Lytechinus pictus: one gene and its partner. Each later gene encodes a partner of the first gene's protein in a complex. Links are inferred from orthologs where the notes say so. Each region holds a gene or a part of one and is shown in the gene's direction. Other genes may lie near its edges.

What was found.
Region 2: COP9 signalosome complex subunit 7b-like (region 1) and COP9 signalosome complex subunit 6-like share a complex: the UniProt entries of both Drosophila melanogaster proteins name them as parts of the CSN complex. The link is inferred for Lytechinus pictus from reciprocal best matches to the Drosophila melanogaster genes CSN7 and CSN6.

What each region holds. Positions count from the first base shown.
Region 1 is NC_087258.1:2,856,155-2,872,496, forward strand, and holds the start of COP9 signalosome complex subunit 7b-like, read left to right. Parts: upstream 1-9,130; 5' UTR 9,131-9,349; coding exon 9,350-9,415; intron 9,416-15,396; coding exon 15,397-15,609; intron 15,610-16,342. Other genes in the region: uncharacterized protein LOC129276772, read left to right, coding at 4,635-4,848. UniProt on the Drosophila melanogaster protein: Component of the COP9 signalosome complex (CSN), a complex involved in various cellular and developmental processes.
Region 2 is NC_087260.1:11,639,672-11,656,265, forward strand, and holds the start of COP9 signalosome complex subunit 6-like, read left to right. Parts: upstream 1-8,955; 5' UTR 8,956-8,981; coding exon of another isoform or gene 8,982-9,047; 5' UTR 9,048-9,271; coding exon 9,272-9,437; intron 9,438-11,405; coding exon 11,406-11,537; intron 11,538-12,231; coding exon 12,232-12,320; intron 12,321-13,876; coding exon 13,877-13,939; intron 13,940-14,639; coding exon 14,640-14,802; intron 14,803-15,438; coding exon 15,439-15,632; intron 15,633-16,594. Other genes in the region: cyclic AMP receptor-like protein A, read right to left, coding at 586-664, 1,623-1,661, 2,237-2,326, 4,806-4,893, 5,054-5,114, 5,415-5,526, 6,495-6,547, 8,982-9,047. UniProt on the Drosophila melanogaster protein: Component of the COP9 signalosome complex (CSN), a complex involved in various cellular and developmental processes.

The sequences.
Region 1 (16,342 bases):
CGGTATTGAAATTTGGCATATAGGCTTAATTTGGGGTGCTGATTTCAAATATTGCTGGCCCCAAGTGATTTGACCATCGGGTCGGCCGCCATTTTGAAATCCAAGATGGCCGCCATGAGAAATCATTAATGTCATTTTCTTGAGTTTTACATGACGTGTGACACTGAAATTTGGCATATAGGGGTATTTTTAGGCACTGATTTCAAATATTTGCCGGCTCCCAGCAATTTGACACTTTGGTCGGCGGCAAAATGGCCGCCATTTTGAAATCCAAGATGGCCACCATGAAAACTCATTAAATGACATTTTCTTGAGTTTTACATGATATGTGACACTGAAATTTGGCATACAGGGGTATTTTGAGGCACTGATGTCAAATATTGCCGGCCCCCAGCAATTTGACCTCCAGGTCAGTGACAAAACGGCCGCCATCTTAAAATCCAAGATGGCCGCCATGAAAGATAATTTGCTCAAGTCTTACGTATGGCCTGTAACACTTTAGATTTGGAGAAAAACTTGATCTTTGCATCCTTCATCAATGAAAAGAACATAATAAATAGATGCTATTTTGAATTCCAATATGATTACCAAGTTTGAATGATGTAGAACATTATAATGGTGAGTAAAACCCATTGTATAGGCACTAAAAACAAATCCAACACAAGCACATCTTTGTCCGTTGCAAGGATTACAATACTTTGGCACCCTTAATTGCTGATATAGATGTTACTTAAGTATGAAGCACCATACATACACAAACCAGCTAGCTTCTTCTGCAGTTACACATTTGAAGTGGCTTTGGTTGAATAATAACCATCCGGAACAATCATTTTCTGTTGAGAGGCTGTAAATTATTTCTTCATATGATCTGCAGTATTGCACTTTGATATATCGACAGAGTGTGGGGTGCTTATTTAAAATATTGCTGGCCCTCAGTGATCTGATCCCGAGTCAGAAGCAAAATGTCAGCCATCTTGAAATCCAAGATGGCTGCCATGAAAAAGATCATTGAAAAAATCACTTTATCTAGTATCACATAACGTATTATTTTAAAGTTTGGCATCTAGGGATATTGAAAATGCCCCCAGTAATCTGTCCAATAGATATGCTGCAAAATGGCCACCATCTTGAAATCTAGAGAGGATCTACTGTCATGAAAATTCATCAAAATCATTTTCTTTGTTTTAATTAATTTGAGGCACTGCATTTTAGACATACAGGCAAGTTTTTTGCCTGCTGGTTTGAAAATATTGCTCCAATAATTGCAATATTTTATTACAAATCAACATGAAGAAAACTGCTCCAGACTTGAAGTACTATGGTTATAGTGGTATTATGATGATGATGAAACTAATATTAATGATGGATGATAATAATACATATTTTATTGTTCAAAATAGAATTCAGTAACAGAAATGCTCCGAAAATTTATTTTGCCCATACCCTGTAGATCGTGAGCCCGGCAGCAATTTAGCAGCGCCACATCAGACGTTGCTCTATCCCTTAAAAAGGGGAGTTCACCCCGGAAAAAAGTTTGTTGTAAAAACAAAAGAAAATATGATATAAAAATGATATTGGTGGATCCATCAAAGATATTAGAATTTTAAGTTTTTGATTTGTGACGTCATATAGGCTACTGTACGAGCAGCTGCCCCATTATGTTGTGTGATATAAAATGCATAAATGGTTCATCATGGGTATTTTTTATCTTTCTGGAGCAGGTGTGAAATCATTTGTTTGTTGATATACCAAGGCTTCAATAAAAACATTTTCATTTTTTTAGGAGGCTACATTTCATTGATTTTGTACTATAAGAAACATGGGGGAACTGCTTGCATCTGACGTCACAAATAGACCAAATGAAATTCCAATAGTTTTTTAAATATTTGATGGAATTTCCTCAAACCTTCAATATTTTTTAATTATTTATTATGTTATCGTTTCAATAAACTTTTTGTCAGGTTGAACTTCCCTTTAATTCGTTGACCGCCAAACAGGTTAGAAGGAACTCCCCTCTTTTAACATCTTTTGGTCTGATGCTGTCGGAGCTTGAACTCCCGATCTCCCGATCGAGAGGCGAACATGCTCCCATTGTCAGATTGTCGAACACACGATGGTTATCCAAAAATGCAAAATTTCAAAATGATAACTACGTTATAATTATGATACTTATTTTTTTAATGAATTTTCTTATGGCAGCCATCTTGGATTTCAAGATGGCTGCCATTTTGCCTCTGACCAAATGGTCGAATTGCTGGGGGCTGGCAATATTTGAAATCAGTGCCTCAAAATACCCCTTTATGCCAAATTTCAGTGTCACATGACATGAAAAACTCAAGAAAATAACATTCAATGATTTTTCATGGCGGCCATCTTGAATTTCAAAATATCGGCCGACCCAATGGTCAAATCGCTTGGGGCCGGCAATTTTTGAAATCAGCACCCCAAATTAAGCCTATATGCCAAATTTCAGTACCGCAGTTCATATAAAACTCGATAAAATGATTGCAATATTATATCATGGCGGCCATCTTGGATTTCAAGATGGCGGACATTTTGCCGCCGGCCAAATGGTCGAATTGCTGGGGGCCGGCAATATTTGAAATCAGTGCCTCAAAATACCCATATATGCCAAATTTCAGTGTCACATGCCATGTAAAACTCAAGAAAATGACATTTAATGATTTTTCATGGCGGCCATTTTGGATTTCAAAATGGCGGCCGACCCGATGGTCAAATCGCTTGGGGCCGGCAATTTTTGAAATCAGCGCCCAAAAATACCCCTGTATGCCAAATTTCAGTACCGCAGTTCATATAAAACTCGAGAAAATTATTGCAATATTATATCATGGCGGCCATCTTGGATTTCAAGATGGCGGACATTTTGCCGCCGGCCAAATGGTCAAATTGCTGGGGGCCGGCAATATTTGAAATCAGTGCCTCAAAATACCCATATATGCCAAATTTCAGTGTCACATGCCATGTAAAACTCAAGAAAATGACATTTAATGATTTTTCATGGCGGCCATTTTGAATTTCAAAATGGCGGCCGACCCGATGGTCAAATCGCTTGGGGCCGGCAATTTTTGAAATCAGCGCCCAAAAATACCCCTGTATGCCAAATTTCACACTTTCTGCCAGATCCGAGCATCTTGGCCATTTTTTGTCCCATAACCGCTCCACTACATACTCTGAACAGTTAAAGGAGAATGAAACCTTTGGAACAAGATAGCTTGTGTGAAAACAGAAAAATCAAAGAAACAGACCAACAAAAGTTTTTGAAAAATCGGACAAATAATGAAAAAGTTATGAGCATTTGAATATTGTGATCACTAATGCTATGGAGATCCTCATATTGGCAATGCGACAAAGATGTGTGATGTCACTTGTGAAAAACTCTCCCCATTACTTAAGTTTATATTTCACTTAAACTGCCTCTTTTATCACATCTATCAGTAGATCATGTGTTCTTTCTATAGGAGGGCATGTGATACAGATTTTTAAAGAATACATCATGGATAAATAGTTTGTATCACCATAAGAAAAAGCAAAAAGACACATTTTGGGGGTATTTTATAGTCCATCAAAGGGAAAGTTGTTTACATGTGACATCACACATCCTTGTCGCATTGCCAATGGGAGGATCTCCATAGCATTAATGATTGCAATATTCAAATGCTCATAACTTTCTCATTATTTGTCCGATTTTTCTCAAACTTTCTTTGTTCTTATTCTATGATTTTTCTGTTTCGACACAAGCCTAATTGTTCCAAAGGTTTCATTCCTCTTTAAGGACTCGAATGAAGAATTCAAAGGGGCTAGGTTATTTTTGAAAAAAAAGGCACCTAAAAGGAAAGGCAGAGCTCACTTGAGGGGGCATCCGATGCCAATAAGAAAGGCCTCAATAGTAAAATATACTTTTTAATGTGAGACATGCACCTGGTTCCCGCAGGGCACCAAGGCTCAATGAAACTCGGTATAACACACATTATATCCTACATAAATTAATTCCTGTATGCTGATTGGTGTAAATAGCATCATGTGACCAAACATATTCTCACTATTTTGCGATGATGTTGAATATGAAATGCCCACTGAAGAGAATTTACTATTTCGTAAATTCTCTTCAGTGGGCGTTTCATTTTCAATTTGGGAAAAGTGCACTCTTCCTTGATTTACGTCACAGATCGCGCAATCTCTCGGGCACAGGCACAAATGCGTGTTCCGCTGAGTGCGTAGCTTCATGAAAAGTAGGTCAGTCAGCGCAGCGCGTTATCCATATTTTGGTTCAGAATTTAAAAAAGATGAAACTACGTGTACAAGAACAAGATTATCAAGATCTGTTCTAACTTATTAAATGTAGGATATAAAATAAATATACCAGGCCTTTATTTCGAAAGAATAGAGGGAATTATTAATCCTCGGTTGTACTGGAAAAATAGTACTGCCAGTCCACCAATAATTTACGCTGTACATACTAAAAAGCCTGTGATATTATATGTTCATGTAGCTGACATACTGTGTATATTTAGATTCTCAATGGTTATCATTTTGAATGCTTACAAAAACCTAATTCATTGAATAATTGCTATCAAATTTCATTAAATTTCTTTCCTACTGTGTTTATCTTACAGTTCAGCAGGTGCCATCTCTGCGACCTTTGACCCTGCCCTCACGATACCGGCGGACGATTCTGATGACGAGTCGAGTGAGTCCGAGCTGAGCGGAGATGACGTGTTCAGTCGAGGTTCAAACAGAGGATCGAACAGGAGATCGAGGAGAAGAGGGAGCATTGATTCGGAACATCAAGATTCTTCCTCATGGCTCTCATGGTGTTCATTAATATAAAATCATTGTGGTTTGGTCATCTCTTCCTTGTCTCAAATACTCATATTGGAAATGGCATTATTGGGGTGGGGTAGCGTAGGAAGGATGACAGGCGATTTCACCCTCATCCCAGCCTATTTAATCCCCAAAACTCCCAAATGGAATGCTTTCATTTGGGTTCAACCGTCTTTTCTTGAGTCGCCCCAAGATCTGCCACAGACAGTATTGTTCTAACAATACAGCAGAATTATGATAGTTGCATTCACGGCATAATAACTTGTGCAAAATATACAGCCCTTAAAATGAATGAAATGGCACCCCCGGAATCCAGTATTCGCCCCAATGTGAATATAAACGTAGCCCCCCCCCCCCCCCCCCGGAATTATTTCCTACCCTCGTGTGTGTGTGTGTGGGGGGGGGGGAGAGGGGGTTGATAACACACTGTTTTGTTGACATTGGTCATAAATGTGTGTACTTCAGAATTATGGATGGCCATATGCTATTTTCATATATAAAGAGATCTCATATAATGCATTCATGATAGGGAGTGGTATTGACAACCTCGGTGTCATTTTTAGTTTAATAACGAGCTAGATGCAGTTTAAATGAAATAGGAACATATAGGTGTATTAACATGAGCGAGCTGCTTTAGAATGATGCATTAATATTACATTTACTAAGTAAACTTCCAGCCAATGTGTAGATAGGTCACAGATGATTAATCTGTTTGATACACATAGCAATACCAGTATTATGTCCAATATAAATGTAATCTTATCCTGATTGCTGTTTTGAGAAGTAAGATGAAAAATTGGAATGTATTGTGCAAGTATTTCTTTATAGACTTTATGTAAATATGGATGTAAATAGCTGCAAAGTTTATCAATTATGAAATTATATTATTGGCTTGAGAGCAAGAAAGGAGTGTAAAGCTTTGATGTCTATCAATATTGAGGTGCATCTTTTGATGTTCAATATTCTTTAGCTAAATTTGTGAGATATTTCCTATTTTTGAGCAAGCGCCATGAGCGCCCAGCTGAGGTGGATACCGGCGCTATACAAGAAACCATCATCATTAAATATATTTATCATTTCTTATTTCCAGTGATCTGGGGCCAAATTCATATTACTTACATCTCTGGTAACAGTCAGTCCGCAAGCCCCTGTGTTAATGAGCAAATGAGCAAGATTTATCCAAGTCCTCTCGTGGCTGAATTCATGTCCCTGCAAAATCTCGTGAATTGTGAGACTTTCTTTCTCAAAGAATTTAACCACTTTCTCCTTGAGTAATATTGATTATTTTTGTACCATGGGCAAGAGTAAATGTTACCCTTTTATATTGGTCATTTCTTTTGAATGAAATATTTTGATAAATAAGTGAATTTTTCACCTGAAAAGATGCATCAAACAGAATTTTCTTCATCTGTTTTCACTTGCAAATTGTGCAACATTTTGTGTTTTAGGCACCAACATTATTTATATCATCAGAAAGCTCAAACTCTGTACTTTCTTACAATGTCACTCGTGATATGTGGCATCTTTTAGATGGGTCAGCAGCCAGTTATTTCCATCAAGATGCAAGACGAGATTTCTGAAATTTCTGAGTAACATAAAATCCAGAGTTCTGATTGGCTGAATATTGTTTTCAAAACAAACAGGCGCGAGTAATTTGAAGAGATTACCACATGGTGAGTGTGACCTTGCAGAGGCCCAGTGTGGGGAACATTGGAATTTGCGTGGGTGTGTGGTCTATGACCAATCAGAGCGCAGTATTCTTGTTTTTGAGCTGCAAAATGTACTTGGCCTATGAAAAGCTGGCTGCTGACCCATCTAACATACATCTTCTTATAAAAATTATATCATATTAAAGCTTAGATCTTCAGCTTTATCATGATTTAAAAATCATTTGTGCCTAAACAGAAATTAAGTGTGAAAACAACAACTTTTGTTGCATGAAAACCATTATTTCATGTTTTAGATCAAAAGTTTCCCCTATATTACAACATTCTTTTAAAAATCCAAACACATGACCTAAAAGAAAGATTCTTCTTCTTTACAAAGATACCAAAAACATGAAATTTTGTCAATATTTAGAGCAGCAATGGCCGAATAAAAAGAGGTGTTTTGGTTCGCACCAAGCTCATTAACTATGCAAAAACCCTCTTGTCATGAATATCACTTGGATAAAAGAAGCTACTTTTTCAGGGCTTGCGGACTGACTGTAACATTGTCATTGTAACTACCATGGAAACCTTGAATGTGATTGGCTTCTGAGCCATGTTACCATTCCTTCATTGAAAAAATAATGGTAAAAGTTGTAACTATATGAATTAGGCCCCTGCCCCCCTGGATGTGTTTGTATTTCCGAATTTCAGCTGAAGTTTGACATTTTTCCAGACATTTACACAGAACTTAGTCTATAAGTGTATGAACACTGACCAAGAATCTTCATTCAAAATACATTGTTTGACAGACTACACAATTTTGATTTGAGGGGCATTTACTCTTTCGGCTATGTTCATCTAGCGCTGCGCAGTGGCTGCTGGGCCCATGATCAATTGGCCAAAACGAATTTTTAGAGCGTTTCTATATCAGATTTATATATCGAATGAGAAAAATATGGATATGGAAATATATAAATACCATTGTTTCTTTCTTTAATAGGTCATCATTTTCAGATCTCCCTACATTTGAAATAATAAAAGTAATAAGTTTCATTATCTGTCGTATTTTTCCCCTTTGTGTTCCTTTGGAATTACAAGTACGTCTTCCCAAATCTTATCTCTTGTGACCAAATTAACCTGTTTGAATAAGGGCAACATTTCACTTTGAAGAAGTGAATAACACACATGCTGTGTGTATAAATGTGGCCAGAAAAATTGCTTTGACTTGATCATTTTCAGCTTGTGACATCACAATGGGTTATCGCGTTGGGTCGAGCGAATCCTGACCTTAATTCCAAAAACGTTGGGTCCAGTTTACCTGACCATTTGAGAATTTGGCTATAATTTTCACAAAACATCGGGTAAATTGGTCCCGACCTGTCAGGAATTTAGGGGGGGGGGCCTTTTCTCAAATGGGCGGGTAAACTGGACCCCATGTGGTGGGAATTTAGGCGGTCCCTTTCTCGAATGGTCGAGTTATGCGATTACCGACCTGTCACGATAACCCTATGATTTTGTGATTCATAGGAGGTTGAACTACATGAAGACTTTATTTTCCATATGAATTCTATTCTGTAATTCCCTCCGAGAATTATTAAATTCAGAATTTTTTTTTTGAAAATGCCCCCTCTAATTACAGTACTTTGAATAAGGCATTTTAAAATGTCATTGTGTATTCAATTGTCTTTATATGGATATATTATATTGGTGTTTTGTAGACCAAATTAGCATTCTGTCTTATTTGCGCTGAAAATGTGCCGTGAAATGTGCCATCATTTATAATCATTGTAAATTATGAAATATATTAAATATCGAATGTGCAATTTGTGTTTGAACTTGTTACTAGACTGACTTTTAATTATCGTAGAGAAGGGGGGGGGGGGTGACTGAGGAAAGAGGGGAGGGGTGGAAAAAGAGAAATGGAAGAAAAAGGATGTGGGAGGAAAGGAAATAGTAGGAGAAGCTTAGAAGAAGATTAGTAGAAAGGATCGAGAAAAGGGAAGAAGTAAAGAAATGTGAGAAGTCGAGAATGGAGAGGAGGAAAGGAATGAAAAGATATGAAAGTGGAGAAGTAGAAGAGAATGAAATGGAGAGTGCATGATGAGGAGTGGAATGAAATGGAAGAAATGAAGAGAGGTGAAGAAAGGAGAATGAAATTGAGGAAAGGAGAAATAGAAGAAAAAGAGGATATGAATAAAGAAAAGGAAGAAAAGGAGGACAAGCAAAAACAGAGGAAAATACTATTGTTTTAATCGATCAAGGGCTGGGGTATATCCTACTTTGAGAAAGATTTCAATGACTTGAATGGGTATGTGATCTTATAGAGTAACAGGATCCATTTGCTTCACCTATATCAACTTGTCTGTTTTTTCTTTTTCCTCTTACAGCAAGTTTTTATTTGGGTTGGATTTCTAGTAGTAGACTAGCTGATGTAGGAAGCTCAGAAAGTAAAGCTATCGAGAGGGTGGAGGGCATAGGAAGCGAGAGAGGTAATTAAAGGAGGAAACGATGGAGGAGAGGGGGTAACAAGGGGGGGGGGGTGGAGGCCGTAGATAATGGAGGAGGATCAGGCAAGGAGCCCCATAGGCCTGGGAAGGAGGAAGAAGAGAAGGGGGGGGGCAGGAATTAGGGGCGGGATCAGGAAGAGTGTGGACAAATTGAGGGGAAAAAATATTAGGCTAGGATGATGAGAAGCGCGGAGCTAGAGGAGGCCACATGTTTTGGTTTAATTACTGACTACTAGTACCGTACTTATGTGAAGTTGGACGAACTTTCAAGTGGTATACGAGATGTAGCCAAATCTGGCCATCCGATGATACTAGTGATAGATCACCAAGCAAAATATATGCACGGTTCAGATGCGCATGCGTGCATCCATTAAGATAAGAAGTGCAGCTGTGCCTAGTGTAGCGGATTCTGTCACTGTAAGTTGGTCATTGTTTGCGTTTTAGTTTCCAAAGTAAATAAATAAAAAAAAACATTCTTAATTCTTTAAGGTGAATAAAGATCGATTTATTATTTTAAATGTAATTCTCATACTCTAGAGTCATGTTTTGCTTGTAAAACACGAACGACATAAACCTATCGTTTAGTACAGTCCCATACGCGTATATTTTTGTGGTAAATTCGGCCAGTTTTTTTAAAGAATTTTTTTTGGGGGGCCATTACTTACTAGGCCCACCAATTACGAAGCAAGTCCGACCGACGTCCTGCTCTTCTCCGCACAGCTGATTGGGACGTGGGGTATATCTCAAATCTTTGTCTGAGCGAAATCGCCTCTTAATTCGGACCGTACGCTGGGGCCGCGGCACTCTAGGCGACACCCCAATACTTACCCGTGCTAATAAACTGGGACTCCACTCACGCGCATTTGGGCCGCCCTAGCTTAGAACTAAGCAATATTATCTAGAAATTGTTACATTGTAGTCATGAAATATGTTCTATTAAATAAATTGATAATGTTTAATCGGTACTCACCGGTTCTTTTGTTGCATTTTCAGACCATTTCTCACAATTCTTCGTAAATATCTGCGGCAAATTTTGTCGCCATAGACAGCTTAACATCCATCTTTATTGATAAATGGAGCGCCCTTTACGATAGTTGTTAATGCCGCGGAGAAATCGTTAGGCATTTTGGCCTGTGTTCAAGGCGTAGCTGTTCTATTTTTTTTTATAGGTATGAGATCGAAATCACAGCGAGTATTTACACTCTTCCATAATGATTCCGAAAGGGAGGCGCAACACCCCCCACCCACAGGGGCGCAAATTCCAGGGGGACATGTCCCCCTCACCTAGAATAGTAGGGGGACACATTATGAAATGTCATCCCCCTACTATTTTGGGTCTTTTCATTCAAAATCGAAATAAAATATGTATTTTGGAAGAGACGATCTTACTTTTGGGGTGCCCTTTTTTTTTGCTTGTTTGCTTATCAAATTTCTTTTGGTCAAGATGACCTTCTTTTTGGGGTGATAAACCTTCTTTTTTGTTTTTGTTTGTTTGTTTTTTTCTTGTCAAATTTTCCAGCCCCTGGTCCCGGCTACCTTTAGGGAGAGATTTCCGCCCTTGCCTAACAGTACACTTGATATTGTTTGCGAATCTGCGTGGGCGTCGGGGGCTGGGGGATGAGGAAAAGCGGTGAGACGAGAAAAAAAAATAGAAGGAAAAAGAGGACAGAAAAAAAAGTGAACGAAAGAAAAATTAATGGAAAATAAAAGGGAGGAGAAAATAGTGAGAAAAGTGATGGGTAGGTCGAGATTTTATGTGTCCGTGCAAAAAGAAATGAGCAGAGGTTGAGATGTTGTCTGTTTGGGCAAATGTCTGTCTGTTTGTTGGACTGGCGCCTGTTGCAAAAATTATTAAGCTGATGGAATCAGAAAGTTCCAACTGCTTCATGTCATACCGACAGTGACAGGATTAAGCGGTTGTATATATAAATCACGCTCTAAAACTGTGTTCTTTATTAAAAAGTTGTCCTTCATATCCATTTTCGCAAAAGAATATCAAGTTTTCAATTAATTGTCTATAGTTATCCTGTTTATGATAAAAATACTTAGAAATTGGGTTAGGTTAGGGTTATCAAATTATCGGGGCAGAAAATATATTTTTTCAGTTCGCGCGTCGAGCTGGCATTAGTGATCAGTGAGATTATGTTTTTAATGACATTCATTCTATTCACAGCAATATATTATTAAACATAGCCGCATGAATTATAGATAGGTCTATAGTTATCAGGTGAATAATTTACCGCTACACACTGATCATGCGGATACTGTTTTGTAAAGGGGAATTTCACCTTGATAAAAAGATTGTGAAAATATAGGCCAAAGAAAAATAATTTCAAAACATAGGTGAAGGTGTTATTAAAAAAAAATGGAGTTAGTAGAATTTCGAATGCTTGATTTGTGACGTCATAAACGAACAGTTGCTCAATATTCTATGTAATACAAAATGCAAAAATTTCCCATTTTTAATGGACCGTAATGACCCACTTTTTTCTTTTTGGAGAGAGTATGAAGTTATCTATTGACATACTGAATGTACAATAAAAGTCATTATCACGTATTTCTTGACATTTCATTTACTTTTTACCATAATTATATCCGATATAGCTGCTCGCAAAGGCCTACGCCGTCACAAATAATTATTTAAAAAATCTCACCTTTAATTATTTTTTGGTGGGGGATGGATTTTTCCTGAACGCATACCAATTTTTCAAATTATTTTTTCTGCTATTTTCATAATTAACTTTAAATAAATTCACCTATGCACTACTTAATTTTTTCAAAGACAAAATAACAAAATTACATCTAGTCTTCATCATCACCATCATCACCAACTTCATTCTCATCATAATCACCACTACCACCATCATTATCATCATCATCATCATCATCATCATCATCATCATCACCGCCACCATCACCACCACCATCATCATCACCAAGATAATTTTCATCATCATCATCTTTCTTTTTTTTTCTTTTTTTTTCCCCTTCCCTTCTTCTTTTTTTCCTTCCTATTTTCCTCCCTTTTTAGAGGGGCACACCACCAAATAAATATGTTTGTTGTTGTTGTATATAAGTTGGCGGATGCCTCATGAAATGAAATAAAAGAGAAAATAAGGAAATGGAAAAAGTAAGAAGAAGGATAAGAAGAAAAAAAGAAAGCCAAACAAACAAGACAAAATAATATCAAAATTTTGTAATAAAGTCAGTCTGTTTAATAATTATGTTTTCAATGAAATGAGACATAAAAGAATTGAAACAAGTAAAAAGGGCTACATCATAGTTAAAAGAAATAGAGGGAAGCTCCGAGACAATAAAAAGTGTTTAAAAAATCAGAAAAGACTTTGAAACACTCTGAACACGAGTATGATATATAAAAAAATTGGGAATAAGCGAGGACAAGTAGGTGAGGGACCCCCCCCCCCTCTCTCTCTAGTTATTTACTCAAACTCGCATATACAAGAGAAGAAATTCTTACTAATCAAAATATTGTGAGCAAAAAGCATGAGCTGACATTTTTTTTAATATTCAAAACTGATAGAGAGACACATTTTGAACAATTCATGAAACATAATAATCATTCATTATAGTTACCAATCGGATTGCGACAAGATCTGAGAATTAGAAATTCATTAAAAGCATAAAATTGTATAACATTAAAATAAGACGGGCGCAACGCATGAGCTAAAGCTTTATATACCAATTAAAAATTTGGACATTTTTAGCGCTTTCGGTAGTCATGAAAAAGATTCATATTTCATGAAAGCTCAAATCCCGAGGAGGAATATTTTTTATTAATTGACTTAAAAAAGGCTGTTCTAATTAAGCCCCATTTAATATTTGATTACAAGTCTCGTTAAACAGTAAAAGAGGAAAAAATAAAGCATATTGTGTTCCTCAATTCTCTTTCTCTTTAACCCTATTTTTTTTTTTTTTTTTTTTTTTTTTTTTTTTTTGGGGAGGTATTTTGGTAAAAAAAAAAGAGAAAAAAACGATAATTGCTGGCTAGTGGGTGTATAGTGGTAGGGACACCCCACCCCCACCCCCCCCCCCGTAGTTACACAAACATGGGACCAAATGATCCTACTTGTTCCAAGGCGAAACTTGTGCAATCAATTAAATGTTATTTTTGAGAAAATTAAAGCTTGCGCTGTTTAAATTCAATCTCTTTCACCTAAATTTGCGATGAATGCTAGTATTATGAAATATATAATTATCAACGTCTGGCGAAAAGAATAACCAACCGATCAGCTGACGAGAACGCGTATCACGTGATCTGCATATCAGCTTCGATCGCGAGTCAGAAGTGAAGAGTAACTGGCAATAAAATCTGGAAAAAGTCGTCAAAATGTAAGTTCCCCTTCATTTCTTTCAATTTTTTTTTATTGCTAACAATGCTTTAACTTTCTTAAACAAAAATTTAATGAATAGACAGTACGATAGCTCGTACTTGTGTTATAATACACAAATAATCATCTTCACAAAGATTTCTGACACAAAATACTACAGATGTCGCCTATGAGGTCCATACATGTAATGTTTGGACCTCATTGGTACTAGGAGTGGGGCCGCGGCACTCTAGGCGACACCCCAATACTTACCCGTGCTAATAAACTGGGACTCCACTCACGCGCGTTTGGGCCTCCCTAGCTTAGAACTAAGCACTAATATCACCTTAAAAACTAAATCTACAAGGTATGTATAATCTATTTACAACTTTAATAATGTTTAATCGGTACTCACCGGTTCTTTTGTTGCATTTTCAGACCATTTCTCACAATTCTTCGTAAATATTTGCGGCAAATTTTGTCACCATAGACAGCTTAGCATCCATCTTTATTGATAAATGGAGCGCCCTTTACGATAGTTGTTAATGCCGCGGAGAAATCGTTAGGCATTTTGGCCTGTGTTCAAGGCGTTCTTTCTGTTTTATTTTTTATATTGAAGATTGTGCATTTGTTGAATAGCGCCGTCTACGTCAGGTATGAGATCGAGTGTATAAATACACTCTTCCAAAATAATTATGATTCCGACCTGGCGCTGTTTAACTTCAATCTCTTTCACCTAAATTAGCGATGAATGCTAGCATTATAAAATATATATTATTAACGTCTGACGAAAAGAATAACCAACCGATCAGCTGACGAGAACGCAAATCACGTGATCTTCATATCAGCTTCGATCGCGAGTCAGAAGAGAAGAGCAGCTGCCCAGAAAATCAGGAAAAAGCCGTGAAAATGTAAGTTCCCCTTCATTTCTTTCATTTTTTGTTGTTGCTAACGATGCATTTACACTATAAAATTATAATTTAAATAAGAGAAAGGAATATAGCTTGTACTTGTGATATAATGTATAAATATCCTGTTCTCAGAGATTTCTAACCAAAAATACTACTGATGTCGCCTATGAGGTCCATACATGTAATGTTGGACCTCATTGGTACTAGGAGTGGGGCCGCGGAACGGTTTTCAAACTCAAGTAAAAGTGGGGGGGCTGACCATGCTAAAAATCACAATCATATGGTCATTTTTACGTTTTTGTACACGGTTTTGGAAAAAAGTGGCGGGGCTGAAGCCCCCCCAGCCCCCCCCGCTTCCGCGGCCCCTGGTACGAACCGTGAGCCGAGTGTGCAGCTGCAATAGTGCAAAGGCCAAAGCCGGGTCATCTTCTGGTCTTGTGTAGCCTAGCCAGGCGGCTTCTTGAGAGTAAAAATCATTTACTAACGTAGGCTTACTCAATGAAGCCAGGGAGTCCTTCCTATTCACCTACACGAAGGACCCCAAAACCTGAAACTTTCACCCCCGAGATTTCTACTTTCCTTCTAAAAGATCTAGCTCTAAATCATGTACATGGGATAAAACTTCATTTCCGACATTTCTATGCTCTCGTTGTTATTTTTAAACAAGAATTCATCAAAAAAATGAAAAAATATTGTGAAAAGACGGAAGAGACTTGCCCGATGTTTACGCCGCCATCTTGTTTCTTATTGTAGTTCCCCAACGTTACGCGATGCTCGCGTCCGTAACGTTGACGCTGCCCGAGTGCCTGAAATGGGACCCTTTTCAACGTTTTTTCTGGACGCGGGTGCGTAACAGGCCATGTGAAAAAGTGACCCCCCGCGGGGTGCTATCTTTTGGCCGATCAAAGCAAATTAAAACCATGAGTGTTTTGATTTTTCAGCTATTGTTACTGCAAAACTGTGTAATGGATCAGATTTGTGAAGTAGATCATGTTTTAAATCTCATTAATAGCCAAATTCAATTATAACTATTGTCCAGAATGTCAGTTGCTCTGTATAAAAAGAAAAAAAATAGTGGAATTTAGAATAGAATAGCAATAATCCAATTTAAGTTACATTACTAAACCTATTACATGAACTTACTTCATTCACTTTATAGGCAATTGAAGTAAGATTTCTGGTCGTGATTCTACAAGCTTGCTCAGACATGAACAACAAGACAACTCTAAACAGTCCTTGTTCCTTGGAGCAGTATCTCCTTCTAGCCAAGACAGCCAAGGGAGCAGCCATGGTGGCCCTTATCAAGCAGTGTGTTGAGGCCCCAGGGGTCTATGTCTTCGGAGAACTCCTAGAGATGCCAAACGTTACTGAGGTAAAAGAATAATTCCAATGCCCATCTCTGACTGTATGATCCTTTTCACCTTCTTATTACCAGATGTACTAGACAAATGCAGAGATCTGCAGCCAAGTTTCCAGGTCTAGCTTTCATCCAAGCTCAATCTTCCTCCACAAGTTTAACATGTATGACAGTGTCAGTGACCAGTGTACATCCTGTGCAATGTAAAATTAGAATATAGACAACCACGTTCTCACATAAACCCATAGGATTGAACTCTCACAGGTTGTTTGAATTAAGACCATGGAATATTAAAATGTTGTGGCATAGGTACGCTAAAAACACAAATATTATTTATCAGGAATCATTGGATCATCCAAGTGCGTAAAGGTGAAATGAAGCATACCTATCTGAAAAAAAAAATATAAGAGGCTACGGTCTATTAGCCCCCCAATAATATTCACAGTGCAATAGAATCTCTGAACACAATGGAAGGACTTCTGATATTTACGGGTATATTTAAGGATGTAAAAAAGAAATGTAACCTATTATATGCTTTTCACACTGCACTTTTTTTTCTTAACCCCGGGAAATTGGTGGGGCTAAGGGGGTCTTAGCCCCACCAATTTCCCGGGGTTAAGCTTAGCCCACTTCGTTTTCACACTACGTTTTAGCAAAGTGGGCTAGCATGGTAAATAGTATGGTACTATCTGGCCCTGCAAAAAAGCAGGGTTAGTCGGCTTATTGTGGTGCTAAGAGATGCAGTGTG
Region 2 (16,594 bases), on another chromosome or scaffold:
AAGCAATCGTAAAATATCTTTAAGTGGTTTAGAAAGGATTTTAATTAGCTCATTAGAAAGCAAGCAGACAATTTGAACAATACATTAAAAATGCAAACCTTGTTTATGAATTCATTTTGAAAAGAGGTACATGTAATCAGCAAAGACCCAATATACAAAATAAAGTGTTTGAAGATAAAATACATAAAACGGTACAAGAAAAATCATTATTCAAAATTGGGAAATATAACATGCAAATAACGCAACAAAATAAATATCAAAAGAGTACAAATGGTCCCAGCAATAGGCAAGTTTGAATATCATTGTTCTGTGGAGAGATAATAACAAATTAAACCAATGGCGCACAATATCTCCATATCACATATAAAAAACCTGGAAATAAATAAATTAAAATATACTTTTGTGATATTAATATATCAGGAAATACAAATACTGGGGCAATGAATTTAATAATATACATGTACATGTAGAAATATCTGACAGAAGTATCATGGCAAATTGAAGGTGGAAAATGTGTGAATAATTAAGCAGGATGATTTTGTCCTGCATTTAATGCAGTTTCTTTTTTATTATTAATGTACTTACCCTTTTTCTCAGCTTGTATGTAATATACGCATAGACAGCAAACATCAGAATTATCAGCAAAAAGAGTGGCCCATACCAGCTAAAACAGAAGACAAAATAACGATATCATAATGAGTGTTTTATCAAGAAATTTTAATATTTGCTTGATAGTTTCACCTTTCTAACAAGCATAACTGTGATTCTAAAAAATGTCATTGGGTTTTAATATAATTAACAAAAAAGTGACAAGTAATAGAAAACCAACCAGTAAATTGATAATCAAATAAATCAATTAATCATCAATGAAAAGATTAAATGACTACATAACCTACAAAACGATCATCTTTTTATATGTCAATATAGAATTGTGCAAACAATGATATTAAACCATCATTGATTAATCTTGGAATCTTATCAAGGGGAACTTTATAAATGTTGCAATCAATTGCATGTCAAATTTTAGGCACAAAATCAATCACAAGTCTGGCAATTAATTGCAAATAAACACTTGATTCTGAGTCTGCTTCTTTCAGCAAGTAGTACACTTCAATTTGGTATTGTTACAATTGATATATCAGTTGTAATTTGGCAACAGCAATTTGCAATTAATAGCAAATCTTTTCTTGCAAAACCCCTTTAGTCTGCATTGCTAAATTTCAGAAATTGGCCCACAAAATGCAACAAGGTTAACATGAGGGAGCGAGTTGGCTCTGTCGGTAAAGCGTCTGCCTTTTGAACCAAAGATCATGGGTTTCAAGTCCACCCCGTGCGGATGGCTGAAGCCTGTGTTGTGTGTAAACGTCCCTCCTCTGTTCAATAGATGCAGGCTATGTTACAGTGGAAAATACACCGTCCCTCGGATAGGACGTTAAATGGACGCCCCCCGTTAAGAACCCACTGCACTACTCGTATAAGAATAGGCGGAAACTCAGTGTAGTGGTCCACCTGTGCGTCATTAGTGATTCAATTCGCTTTTCACCTCCCAGGCACAGGTGACGCCAAACATATAATAATAACACTTGCACAAGGTGTGTAGTAAAAGAACCAGGGAAACTCACATGAAGAATCGCCATACTGGGTACTCTGCCGGTATCCAACTAGAAGGAAAAATGTTGAGAAGAAATAATTATAATTATACTAATACATAGTATTTGTATAGCACACTTTCCATCTTAATTAGAATCTCAGGGCACTTCAGAGCAAATTACAGAAAGAAAGAACTTACATTATAAGTTAAAATTATACAAGGATATCCTTCAATACATACATGTACACTGTAGATGGTTGAATGCAAAAAAAAAACCTCATTATTTATTCAGGTTGCACCTTTGAAGGTGACTTTTCTGGGTTTTCAAACTGGTCCTGCATGAGTCTGTTCCCCCATAAATTCTTTGAAACCAAAACTTGAAAAAGTTTAGAATTTGAGGATCTTATTTTGTGAATACTAGTAATGTAATGTGAAATTAATCATTAATTAGAGAATAAAGTGAGAGAAATGGTGGACGGAAAATTGTATGGGGGGCAATCTGGCATAATTTCTGGGCAGTTATATACATGTATGACATAATTTGTAACTTATCACCAAGCCCCAGCAGGTCCATAATTGTATGGGGGGCACTCTGACATAATTTCTGGGCAGTTATATACATGTATGACATAATTTGTAACTTACCACCAAGCTCCAGCTGGACCATAATGATTACCAATCAACGGTAGACAAGCCATGAGAAAGGAAAAACCCCAGGTCACTAGATGGTATATTCTGAATTTTGCACAGAAACAAAAATGTATTAATTTTGTGATTAATGGACATACAGTAGAAAATATAAATACACCCTATTTATGGTTTGTTTGTATCCCAGTATCACTTCCTTTATTGTATCTCAATATTCCTTTTAATTGCATTACACTTCCTACTTCATCTTTTTCATATTTTTTCCTCTTCCTCCTGTTCTTAATAATAATAATAATAATAATAATAATCCGCTTTTATATAGCGCTTAATACATCGGAACGACGTGTCTAAGCGCTTTTCAGATATATTATTACCCCGGTCATCGGATTCAATCAGTCGTTCCCGCACACAATGTATGCACATCCTCCACTCCCTGGGGAGTATTCCAGTCAGTCGCCGGCGAGGCCCACACAGTACTGGACAAGCTACAATGACTTTCACATCCTACTGGGTACACATTTAGTACTTAGGCAAAGTGTGGATGAACGTCTATAATAATCATACCAACATGCTTTAAAATGTAGCGTATATCACTGCTAAATGCGTCCCTATGCGCTTAATTGGATATTATTACCCTGGCTTTAGCCCGTGGCCTTTTACAGCGCGGTGGCATTTCAAGGAATAAATTCCTGCCAGGTACCCATTTACCACACCTACATGTAGGTCGAGTGCAGCTCAAAGTGGATAAAATTCTTGCCAAAGGAAATAACGCCATGCCTGGGAATCGAACCCACGACCCTCTGTTTCAAAGTCCGAAAACTAATCCACTGGGCCACAACGCTCAACAATGAAAGAAAGAAAGAAAGAATAGAGGATGATATAACACCTAGACAAAGGACGCCAGACCGCGGTGGGAATTGAACACACGACCCTCTGTTTATAAGGCGAGAGTCGGAACCACCACACCACGGCTCCTCCGTCCTTCTTGTCACTCCGCTTCCCTGTTTATTTTGTTTCTTTGTCCTTCTTCCTCTTTTTTTTCTTCTTTTCCAACTCTTTGATTCATTTTATTATTCAGCTCTGGGATGTTGCAAAACAGGTGTCTACATTGTACATGTATGGAGGGTCCTCCTCCTCTGCTTTCTCCTTCTTCTCCTCCTCCTCTTTCTTCTTCTTCTCCTCCTCCTCTTTCTTCTTCTTCTCCTCCTCCTTCTTCTCCTCTTTCTCCTCCTTCTTCTCCCCCTTCCTCTCCTCCTCTTTATTCTTTTTCTTCTTCTCCTTCTCTCCTCCTTCCCCTCCTCCTCCTCTACTGCTCCTCCCTCTTTTTGCCCCTTCTCCTCCTTCCCCTTTTCCTCCTTCTCCTCTACTCTCATTTCTACTATCTTATCATCGTCTATTCTTCCTTTCATGACTATTTTTCTTAATCTTCCACATTCCGCACATTATTCATATGCAGGAAAAACTACAATTCGCTTTGAAATTTGTTTGCAATACAGACTGCATTGTGTGGTAGAAAGGAGCATTTTAACAGGATTTAGAACAGGAAGAAGGAAATGTAATGACCATCGGTAAAAGACAAAATTGATACTTGTATGTGTCGATACTCAATACTCATACCATGATATTACAAGTACCTTAATGCATATCATATGTTAAAAAAGGGGTAAAAATAGTTTATTTTAGTTTCAAAACAGGGATTGCTTTCAAAACTAAAGAGTCTGGAAAGTTACTGTTTATAGTGATTTTAATATCAAAGTGTTTTATATGTATCCATTCATGGTGTAAAAGGCAGGGTAGGAATATTTTATATTATTATTACCAGCAAACATGTACGTGTAATTAGATAAAGCACAATTAGTTTAGGAATACAGTACTACATGAAGGTGTTACGACATTCAAAGCAAGGGGGGGGGGTGGGTTCCAAGTAACAAGAAATATTTATCCAATCCAAGGGGCTACATGCATTATACATGCTCTGACAAAAGTCAGAGCTTTTGATATATATCCCCAAATATTTTAGCATCAAAACAACACCCAAAGTCTTATAACAAACTCTGTAAAATTCATATTAATCATACATACAATGACTAGGGATTAGGGTTTACTCTGTGCATATAAAGATAAATGAAAGTAGTTGCAGTAAACACTGATTTCACGAGAAAGTGTGTTGAACAAAGCTTAATTGTCACTATATCATCAAGGATCTAGATCTGGTACAGTTACATAAACTGAACTTGTGACAAAATGTATACACCATAAATATCTGACAAACCCCAGTCTAAAAAATCAAAAACAAAGAAATTGAAAGTTTCCTTAATAAATTTGAACACTTGCAAATACATGTCTAACTTGCATAAACTGGGGAAATCACGAGCTTCATTACACCTTTAAACAACTCCTTTACAATGGAAAATCTGTACAAACATATTTTTCATAACCTTCGTAATAAAATTCCATCAGAGGTAGGCCCTTATAACAAATAATGAGACTACCAATATATCAAATTAATTGTCTATATATGCAAAATAACAAATAAACATAGAAATTTCAGCTTACTGCTACTCACATTTCTCTTCTCTCTGTGTTGATCATCCATATTGAAATCAAGTAAAGGTTAAAGGTTATACAGCTGACCCACATCAATGTCACCCAGTCTGAGAAAAGAAATTAGAAAAAAAAATGAAATTTGAAATATTCTGTAATCTTGACCCAACACAGTACCTGCTGAGCACTAATTTTCCCGCTGACAAAGAAAACGATATCAAAATCATATAAAAATATAATTTTATGGCAATTTTCATGGCAAGATCTTACCCCAAAATTGTGTCCACCATCCTTCAAAGTTACAGACTGCACTGTCTCCTCTTGGGCTTTCCTATAAAAGAGGAAATTACAAAAAGCAAGAAAAACATAATAAAACATGGCAAACTGATGCAAGTCTGACCCAAAGCAGCTGTATTCATTTTAGGAAACACAGAAGATAATAGTTACTGTATCTCATGTAATTAATTTTGCAATTTTTATGAATGAATGAAACTTCCTCTGAAATTAGACACAAGAATCCTACAGTAACATCTGCACAATTCCCATACTACACTCAACCAATCTGTATGTAGATGACTTTATATTAGTCTACAATTATATAACACATCACATAATTTGATATATCACTTACCAAAAACTTTGATATACTTCCAAAGAATGCTGCCACCGTGAGCCACAGGATTAGTCTTTGTACAAAGAGTTCATACTTCTTAAAGATCCAGATCACTGTTATCATGAAAACACTGAAGATATAAAGGACAAACAAACATTTAACAATCCCTTTCTTTCTTACATTCTAAATCCAAGCATACATGTAGGATGGGGGGTCGGGTGTCCGGACACTTTATATTTTTGAAGCCTTCTTTTTTGTCTTTGGATTACACTAAAAATATGAATTCAATACTTGTAATCATCTTCTATTTTGTTCTTTATAATATTTCCTAACATTTTGTACTAAAAATTTATGAAATTTCGCTTTCAAATTTTTCCAAATGACTTTCTAAAATTGATCGTCCGGACACACAACCTGTCCGGACACACAACCACTGGGTATACATTCATATTCAAGTGGAATTTATTTTATTTTCTTTCAGAGACAGTACCTACATGTATGCACCATTCTAAAAAGCTATGATTTCTCCATACATGTACATGTATGTGGCCACTACTATGTAACAGAATCATTGTTGTCAATTCAGTCAAATATACAAATATTATAAAAACAAAATTGCATTCATTCCTCAATTATTTGTTTTCTTTCTTCTTTCACATTTCATATATGGACAGCTCTCCAAATACATGATTTAAAAATCCATAAAATATAATTTTTTCAGAAAATATAAAATGATTTTTATCAATGCATTCATTACACCATCAGACACATTATTCCATAAAAGTACATACATGTACATTGTACAATGCTTTTATGAAATAAAAAAACTATTAAAAAGCATGGTTTGCACTATTAAATCAATCATGACATATGGGACAGCTGCCGCATGCAGCATGACACAATCAAAATTTTGATTAATAAGAAAATTTCACAAAGATGTTAAACCTTCTTCCATATGCTTTTTACATGTAGTTTTCTGCATTTATCAATATCAACATGATACTAGGGTAGACTACTTCCCCTTTAAGTGTCTTTAAGAATTAATCCACTGTACAATGTACATGTACAAGTAGATCTGTGTAGATGTCATAAACTTACCATCCAATTAAAGAGAGGGCAGCGAGAGCCTTTCGAATCCCATAAATAGTATTCTGGGTAGAAAAAAAAAAGAAATGTGAAAGTACTAGTTTATTTTGTGAAGAGGTTAACACCAGAGGTTGTGTAATCTGGGTTTTAAATTCCATTTTGGGCATCAATGTTCTGGAAATCCATTCATCTGCACGCTTTTCAAACATGCAACTACACGTTATGGAGTGATTACATACATGTACTTTTAATGACAGCTGACAATAAATCAGAACTTTATTTTACTTTTCTTTCAGTTACTCTTGAACTACAAACAATACACACATGTACTCTTCATAACCTAAATTTTGCATTTTTTTTCCTACATACATGTAGTTCTGCAATATTTTGTAAACCTCCTTGGAGCTTGCAATGAGTTCAGTATATAATGAAGAGTCATGTGACAATGCGTCACTCATATTCTTTTAAAAGACACCAATTAACTGACTTTACTGGAACATTTTACATAATCATAGTTATTTCCACATATTTTTTTTACAATTCTGGGGTTGATTGTGATCTAATTCCCATAAAATCACCATCTACAATGTACTATTCTACTTTCTCCTCCTTACTATACAATTCTCCTCTTCCTCTCCTTCTCCCTTTTTTTTCTCTCCTTCTCCCCTTATTTTCTTCTCTCCCTGTATTCCTTCCTCCTCATGCGACTTGTGAAATGATGTAGGGAGGGGATAATTTATTTTTTTTCTCCAAAAATTATACTCAAGACTGTATAAATTCTTTCATGAGGACATGTCTCAATATGCTTCATCCAAAAGGGAAAGGGGCTTTAAGGAGAAAAACATGAATTCTTAATAGGGCCTATTTTACAGTACAATAACTACAGTACAACAAATGAGAGAGTTGTCTTCCTTGCTGCCACTTTAAAATAAACATACAATGTAGATCTAGTTTACATTCTTTAAAACGTAAATCCCTTGTCCAATTTCCTTCAAACCTCTCTCCATTTTTCTTTCTCCTTCCACACATTACCGTAATTTTGTTACCTGAACAGCTGAAATCTGTCTGTTTGGAGAATTTTTTAAACATTTTTATACTTTCTGGTTTCTCCTCCTACATAGACACTAGCTACATGTATCTCACACACAGTGTGAGGGGCTGAGGGCCCTATTCCCATAGGTTCAATTGTACTATTCCCCTAAAAATGGGAATTCAGAATTTTTTATTCTTAATTTGTCACAAAATTGCACTGAGGTGGTGAATCAGACAAGATTCTGATCATTTTTAATATATTTTGATGAAAATGTTTGTATTAACAGTCAAAATCAATCTGAATTTTGGGGTTTAATACAATAGGTTCCTGCACTGGCTGCAGACATATCAGAGTGGAAACAATGACTTTGGTCTATGGAGGAGGAATAGTGAACCAAGACATATTCCACCACCCAACAAAACAGAGACTTCAAAATTTTCAGTCTATTGAATACCAAGGTCCAAGGTTAGATTCCCCTTAATCTAAAGTAACAATGTTGAAAAAGTATGGTTTCATTTCATTATAACGTTCATGTTTAAAATAGACTACAAAAAATTAATCCCAGGAAATCAAATGAAGAATAAAGCTTTCACCTCCTTCTCCCTACCTTTCAACTTGTTAATTTTACAAGCAACGTCAAGATCAATCTTTTAGGTTAATAAGGTTTATCGCGAATCAGCAAATATCAACAGAGGTCGCTGCACCGCAAAGCATGATGGGATCAAAAAGGGGGCAGAGACACAACCAAAAACAGCCCAATGATCACCACCGGTCACCTGGCATGATGAAAATTCTTGAAATTGTGAAAATAAGGATTACGTTACTCCCAGCCGCAAGTCGAAATGTGATTGTGAACAGTCGTCTGAATAGCAGCTAGCTTGCCCCCTTTTCAATCCCATGATGCATTGCAGTTCTGATTAGCAATATATGGTAACTAATCATAATTATATTGCACCTCGCTATATGACAGGTAAGACTAGTCTAACGCCGAGGACATTGATGCGGGAATTAAGCAACTAACTCGGAAACGACCTGGCGCAGATAATCTACCAGATTGAAGAGCGCCAACTTAACTCCAACACCAACCAACCAACCAATATACCTTGTTCTTATATTTGTTTTCAGTTGACTTCTTGGAGGTTGGAGTCGGACTCCTCATCATAAATTATATCATGCCATTCCCATTCATTTTCTTTTTTCATCTCATTCAATCATGTCATTTTACAATTACAATAAACGTTTTTCCCCATCTTATTTCTTGCCTCTTGTTTATTTTGCATGCTCATTTTGCTTCCACATCTGTTTCTTTAAAAAAAATGCAAACTGTTTTTTTTTTTTTAGATCTAGCCTAGCCTAAACCAAACGAACCCCTAAAAAGCCCCGGCCAAAGCCAAGGCAAAGCCGGGATTGCACGGGGGACCTCTGGCCAAATCAAATGTTAAGACTGCGACTACAGCTACACTCACACATTTTGTAACGTCACCATTAAACAACGGGCATTCTTCAAGCGGTGCGCTCGTAGGATCTGCCATCTTTGTTGAAAATATCACAAACAAATAACTTATAGATCCACTCCCTCGATTTTTAGCTCAACTTGAATGGAAAAATTCATGAAACAAACTCCGAAAGACGAAAATAATGTCTGACTCATTTTTCCACCGCACTCAAATTCTGATCCGATCCTGTGAATGAAAATTATGGTAAGCCACGCCCATATTCGTTACGTAATCAAGTCAAAGACTACATCAAGTTCAAGATGGCGTCGGAAATGGAAATCGAAGGGAGTTCATCCTCTTCACAGTCAGCTGTTATGGCTTCTGGAGGGACAGGAAGCGTGGCAGTTGCTCTTCATCCCCTGGTTGTCATGAATATTTCAGAACATTGGACTAGAATCCGTGCACAAGAAGGAAAACCTACCCAGGGTAAGACAGTTTTGTAATTGTATTTGTACTCTACATTGTCCCACGCATTGTATATCATGTGTGTTCACAAAGACGTGTGAGTGACTGTGAATGTGACAATGTCAATGATGCTGTGTCTGTGATTGTGTGAGTGTAACAAGGTTGGCTGAAGTTGGCTCCCGGCGCTAGTGTAGTTTCGCACCTCCCCGTTTAATGGTTTTCAAACATGTACAATCTCACCCTAAATAATTCACAACCTAAAATACTTGCATCTGAGCCTCCAAAGTCCAGTAGAAGTTGAATATTTGCCGTTTTGACACTTTTTTACAAAGTTTTACAAATTACACCTATTTCGGAAACACTCGGTCTCGGTTTAGAGCCTTGTTTTGAACTCTAGGTCTAGAGTTCAAAACAAGGCTCTACATTATTATTTCTTATTTCATCGCTAAATCTACGTGTATTCACATTTTTTACATTTCTTATTTCATTCAAACAAGCACACACACGCACACCCCACACACACCTTCACACAACAAACATCAACCACTCTGCACAACCACTACCGTAATACTTGGTGCAAGCTGAAAGAGGGGAAAAAATCTTTTTGAAGATACCATAGAAAAACTCGCTCTTCTTGCACTTCACTAGTTGGTACGTACTGTACGCGTACCGACTGCTTATGTGCAGCGCTGAGCTTCAAGCGACCGAGTGATTCCGAAATAGTTGTAAAACTTTGTAAAAAAAAGTGTCAAAACGGCAAATATTCAACTTCTACTGGACTTTGGAGGCTCAGATGCAAGTATTTTAGGTTGTGAATTATTTAGGGTGAGATTGTACATGTTTGAAAACCATTAAACGGGGAGGTGCAAAACTACACTAGCGCCTGGCTCCCCTGTCTGTGTCAAGATATAAACATGTGAATATGATATGTTTTTACTAATATTGAAATCTGACTTTTCTTCGAAAAATGCTACAAAATTAGACCAAACAAATAGTCAAAAGTTTTTTTTAATTTAAGAACGGAAAGAACTGCAAAAGTGCAAGAAGAATTTTAATTCTAAAAAGAAAAACTGGTTATTCCATCAAAGTCAAAAGTTAGTGATTAGTCACTGATTTTAAAGAACAGTTCTTATTGGTTCTTAGTAAGTAGTACTAGTATGAGCAAAATGCGCATGCAACGATGATCTTGATAGGCCATTTCATAATTGCTAGATAAACTTTGTGTTGCAGGGGCCCAGACCATTTGACTTTTTTTGTCATAGAAAGCCGTTATGCAATGTCATTGGGCCAACAGCTTGCCAGGACAATCAAAACACCTCACAGTTTCAATTGCCTTGCTGGTAATTGGCTCAACGATTTTGCAATGTATTCCATTTTATCATGTGCATTGTTGGTTCAGACAACAAGGACAAAGCTCTGGAATTCAACAATTCAATGTTCAATTCTTGTTGTTTTGTGCAGAATTGATGTCTTTTAGAAGGTGTTGCAAAAAAAATATTTGAAATCAATTGCAAAGTGACCGATAAATTCTACCTAAAATAAATCAATTTATAATTTGTTTATCAATGCAAGGAGCAGACCATCAATCAATTGCAAATTTGCAATGAAATGCATGACTTTCAAGTGACTTTGGGACCTGATATTGACTTGCAGATCCAGGATTTTCCAAAGGGGGGGGGGCACATTTTCCCGAGGAAAAATTTGACAAGCAAACAAAAAAGAAGGTTTTTAACCAAAAATTAGGCACATCTTGTCCACGAAAAAGTTTGACAAGGAAAAAAAAGTGTTCACTTTCAAAGGGGCGAGATTTGCCCCCCCCCCCCCCGGATCCGCCAGTGATTAGCCCTATATTTTGTGTTCTGCTTTCTTCTTTACACCATTCCTTCTGTATTTCCTTAATTTTGAGAGAAATTTGTCTTTCCTTCTTTAAACTTCCCATATTTATTTTGTACAGCATGTTAATAAATTTCATTATTTTTATTTCCGCAGTTCTTGGTGCTTTGATTGGTAAACAAGAAGGCAGAAACATAGAGGTCCTCAATTCATTTGAGCTTCTCTTTGACACCGTGGAGGGAGATATCATCATCGACAGGGAATACTACAACACAAAAGAAGAACAATGTAAGTGTGTAAACTTTGCACATATATGTGAAAGAATGAGTTGAAAATAATACATAAAATTAGGTGTTCAATTGGCCCATTGCAGAAATAAGCTAGATTCCAAAAGAAACTGATCAAACTATACAAGGGCACTGCACAAGTTCCACTCAGTCAAAATGAACAATATTTTTACCCAGGCTAGCTTTAATAATCTCTACTAAGCACATGTCAATAATTAAGAGATTGGTTCAGTCACAGAGAGGCTATAGCATTGGTTTCAGAATACAAAGTCACAAAATAGCAAAAGAAAGACCAATGAAAATGAGATAGGATAAAACGAACTTCCCAGTTTATCACACACGTCCATTACAGGCAGGTTAAGTGATTTGCTTGATCACAATTGAAGCTGTAGGAAGTTAAAAATCAAAATTTTTAGATGATTGGAACAATCACACAGCCACCCACAGATCCCCAGGGGGATGTGCCCTTAAGCGGGGGTTAATCAGAACATGGTGTGTGTGTGGCCTAGTGAGATACACACAGAGGGCAGGGCATGCGCTAATGTTTGTGGTGTGGAAATAGAAGTTTGAACAAGTTATTGCTTTTATGTAGGTGAGATTAAATTATTGTCCTTTTTAGTTAACAATTAATGATGTTTGATAAATTGCTTCTAGGAAACATGATGGAAGTCCTTGTTTCTATTTTGTTATTTCAGTCAAGCAGGTTTTTAAAGATCTTGAGTTTCTTGGTTGGTACACCACTGGAGGATCACCGGATGAATCTGATATCAAAGTTCACAAACAGGTAATATTAACTTATTGGGAGTTGCAAGAATCTTGCTATCGATTCCAAGTCAATCATTGATCTTCAAATCAATCACAAGTATTTTAATTAATTGCAAATTTGCAACGGATTGCTAGTCTGCTTCTTGCATCAACAAGTATACATGTAACTTGATTTGCTTTAGTTGAAATTGGTCTATCATTTGTGAATGTGCGACTGAAATCTGCTCTTGATTGCAACAATTTTCTTGCAACATCATCTTGTTCTATTTCTCAGATAGTCTAATACCACACAGGCTAAGCCCAATTGGTTTGATTGCTGTTTGGTCCATTCTACACTTGGTCTAATGCCACTAAGTCTAATTCTCAATTATTCTATCTAATTTTCAATTATTCTAATGCTCATACTGGTCTAATCTCTCTTCGTCTTCTATTTATTTTTCACAAAGGTTAATAGACTAATTGGTGCAGACCAAGTGGATATTGGACGAAACAGAAAAAGCCCAACTGCCCTTGATGATAAGATTTTCCGTGTCACTGACAAGTTTTCTATGAGACCTACAGGGGATTTTTTTTTAATTGGACAAATCCAATCTGGCTATTCTCTTGGATGAGAAAATTTGTAACCTTGAGTCATATAGAGGAGTTGTCCTTAAAAGTTGTTCAGTTACAGAGCTGACAGAGCTGAAGGAGAACTGATAAGTTCTCCTTTAGTCAACTAGTACCCTTTTTACACAGGATTTTCTTAGCCCCGGACTATCGCTAACCCCGTACTATCCTTAACCCCGTACTATTTTTTTTCCTTTTTACACATGCCAAATTGTTATTGCTAACCCCGGATAAGGAATGCTTGCTTTTCACACACGAAACTCGCTAACCCCGGACTAGTGGTTTTTGTTGATCATTCGTAGTACAAGTACTTCACTCGTACCTTTTTACACACGCTACAATTTCCTTAACCCCGTACTATAGGTGGGGCCAAATTGCCATTTAGCCCCACCTATAGTACGGGGTTAAGCTTAGCCCACTTTCGTTTTACACTAGCGATCTTAACCCCGTACTATCGCTCTTAGCACCGCAATTGCTGGGATAACCCTGCTTTTTTGCAGGGCCAAATAATCCCGTACTAAAGGTGGGGTTAGCCCACTTTGCAAAAATGCTGTGTAAAAAGAAAGTGGGCTAAGCTTAACCCCGTACTATAGGTGGGGCTAAATGGCAATTTAGCCCCACCTATAGTACGGGGTTAAGGAAATTTTAGCGTGTGTAAAAAGGGTATAGGGGAGCTGTCCTTAAGATTTGTTCTGATATAGGGACAGATCCTATCCGGCAGTTCCCGGGCTGAAAGACAGTATATACTGCCCCATGGATAACTTTTCCTTGAGGCCTCCAGAGGATTTGTCTTGAGGAGTTGGTCTGAAGAGTTCTGGTACAGATATTACAGTATTGCATGTGTAATGTTCTCATATTACAGCCTGTACTTGGACTATGTTCATGCATACAGACATTAATAATCCTGTAATGCAAATTTTTAGTATAAATTCAAAATGGTTTTTATATTTTCATTCTCGTTCTAAACAGATTTGTGAAATCAATGAGAGCCCCATCTTCTTGAAGCTGAATCCATTATCAAGACAGACTGATGTGAGTATTACTGCAGTTCTTGGGCCTGTAACACAAAGCTTAGCAATCTTTGTAGAACAGCTTTTTATGATTGAATTCATTGACTACAATGTACAATTAATGGGGAATTCAAGCATATGATCAATCGCAAACCTTTGTGTCATTGGACCTAGATGATAACATTAACAGTAATTCAAATAAGCCTCAAATTCAATATGTATTAATAATACATTGCACTTACAAAATTATAATGCAATGAAATTTTGAAAAAATAATGTATTGTAATTATAATGTAATAAAATAAAAATATGATGTATTATAATTTGAATTTATTTAGCATGTTAAATACTAGTAATCATAGGCTCACAATTAGAAAGAGTGTATGTAAGCATTTTAAAGACTAGTTTTAACAGTGTCATTGCTTTGAATATTGTTGCAATGAATTGTAATGATTGCCATACTATATCATGATTTTAATTTAAAAAATGAAGGTTACTAATGATGAGTTCATAATAGTGACATGACCAGGATTTATCCATATGACAACTAGTTATAAAGAATTTCAAGTAGTCTGAATATTTGTGATTTACAACTGTCACATTTCAGGGAGAAGATGCTGTTAAGTACACTAGTGATTATGATATCTATCTACAGTAACTGGTGATCGCAGATATACATGGATATCTTAAATTTTATTCATTACTTTTTAACAATTTAACAGCTTCCCGTCCACATGTTTGAATCAGTGATTGATCTGATCAACGGCATAGCAACCATGCTATTTGTGGAGCTGCATTTTACCCTAGCAACAGAAGAGGCTGAAAGAATAGGTGTTGATCATGTTGCTAGGGTAACCAACAGTGAAACTATGGAAAGCTCTGTGGGTAAGTGGTATGATCATATTTACCTTCTTCTTATGATAATCATCATAACAGCTATGGAGCTGACTGAAATACAAATGAAAAATATATATATTTATATAGTTTAGAGTATATAAAGTGAATGCCAAAAATTAAAAACTTCAATCCATCACTTAATCACTGTGCATTACCAGAGCTGCCAGTTAGTGGGATTTTATCCATTTAAGAAGGATTTTCAAGGGGATATTTACACTAAATAGGATATTGCCCCTATAAATGGGGTTTTTAAACTTGTATAGCATTTATGAGGCGCTTATCTAGTAGCCTATTCGATGGCGCACTATATATATTACCCCAGATATAGTTCAAGCTGCTAAATGCGCTCCATTCATTCAAGGAATTAATCCTGCCGGGTACTCATTCACCTCCTGTGGGTTGACTGAAGCAGAATGTGGGTAAATTTCTTTCTGAAAGTAACACCCCATGGCTGAGATTCGAAATCACATCCCTCTGATTGAAAGGCGAGAGTCATAACCACTAGACCTCGACGCCCCCAGTATAACATCATCATATCTTACAGCCGTTATTGACTGTTATTTGTTTTATATGTTGCTAGTTGTCAAGCATCTTCATGACTCTTTTATACTGTTTTTCATCTAGTTGCGGAGCACCTGATAGCACAACACAACGCCGTGAAGATGCTGCACAGTCGCGTAAAGCTGATCTTGGATTACGTGAAAGCTGTCCAGTCTGGTGAGGTGCCCATGAACCATGAGATTCTCCGGGATGCCAACAGTCTCTGCCACAGGCTACCGGTCCTGCATCTAGAAAAGTTTGATACAGAATTCTACAATGTAAGTTACCGTATCCTTATTACTTGAAAACATTGAAATTTGGCATGAATTTCTTCCATTTTGAGCTGCCCTTGACCCAGGCGTAGTAAATGGTTACATGTATCTAGTAGGAAATTCATTCCTTGAAAGGATTATCTTCCAGGATGGCATTTTTTGTAAACGTCTTGTTCATGTTTGCAAGTTAAATGTTAACTGGAAAAGAAAGTAGTGGCAGCTAACAATTATTTCATGAGAAAGTCTTTTAATTCAAGGTTAATTGGCACCATATTATCATTGATCTAGATCTGGTACATTCATGTTAACTTATTTTTCTGATATCATGAAATCTTAGCTGGAAACAGATCATTCTGATGACCTTTAACAGAAAAGCGTATGCGGGGCAGTGTATTAATTTCGCTTCGAACAAACCCCTGACATTTGATGGAATTTGTGTTTATTGTGCTCATTACTCAGAGCCATTTCGCACATATTTTTATTAATACATACAAGCACTGGGATGGTCATTTTATTGGATTCTGATCAAATTCATTTTTAGATTGTTACCACAATTAATAATAATAATAATAGCCAATTTTTATATAGCGCTTTTCCCAGAATGGCTCAAAGCGCGTTATAGCTTATTATTACCCGGTCATTGGATTCATTTCAATCCCGCACGAAAAGTGCACAATTTCCACTCCCTGGGGAGCATTCCTTGCATTCATCGCAGCCTCATTTGGCGCTGGCAAATTCAAACATACAATATCTTTCGCATCCTACCGGGTACCCATTTAGCACCTGGGTCGAGAGTGGCAAAGTGTGGATTAACGCCTTGCCAAAGGACGCTAGACCGCGGTGGGATTCGAACACACGACCCTCTGTTTACAAGGCGAGAGTCAGAACCACTACACCACGGCTCTTCCACTGGCATTTATCTTAAGGCATTGTCAAAATGTGACTTTATATCTCTTTGTTATTTGGAT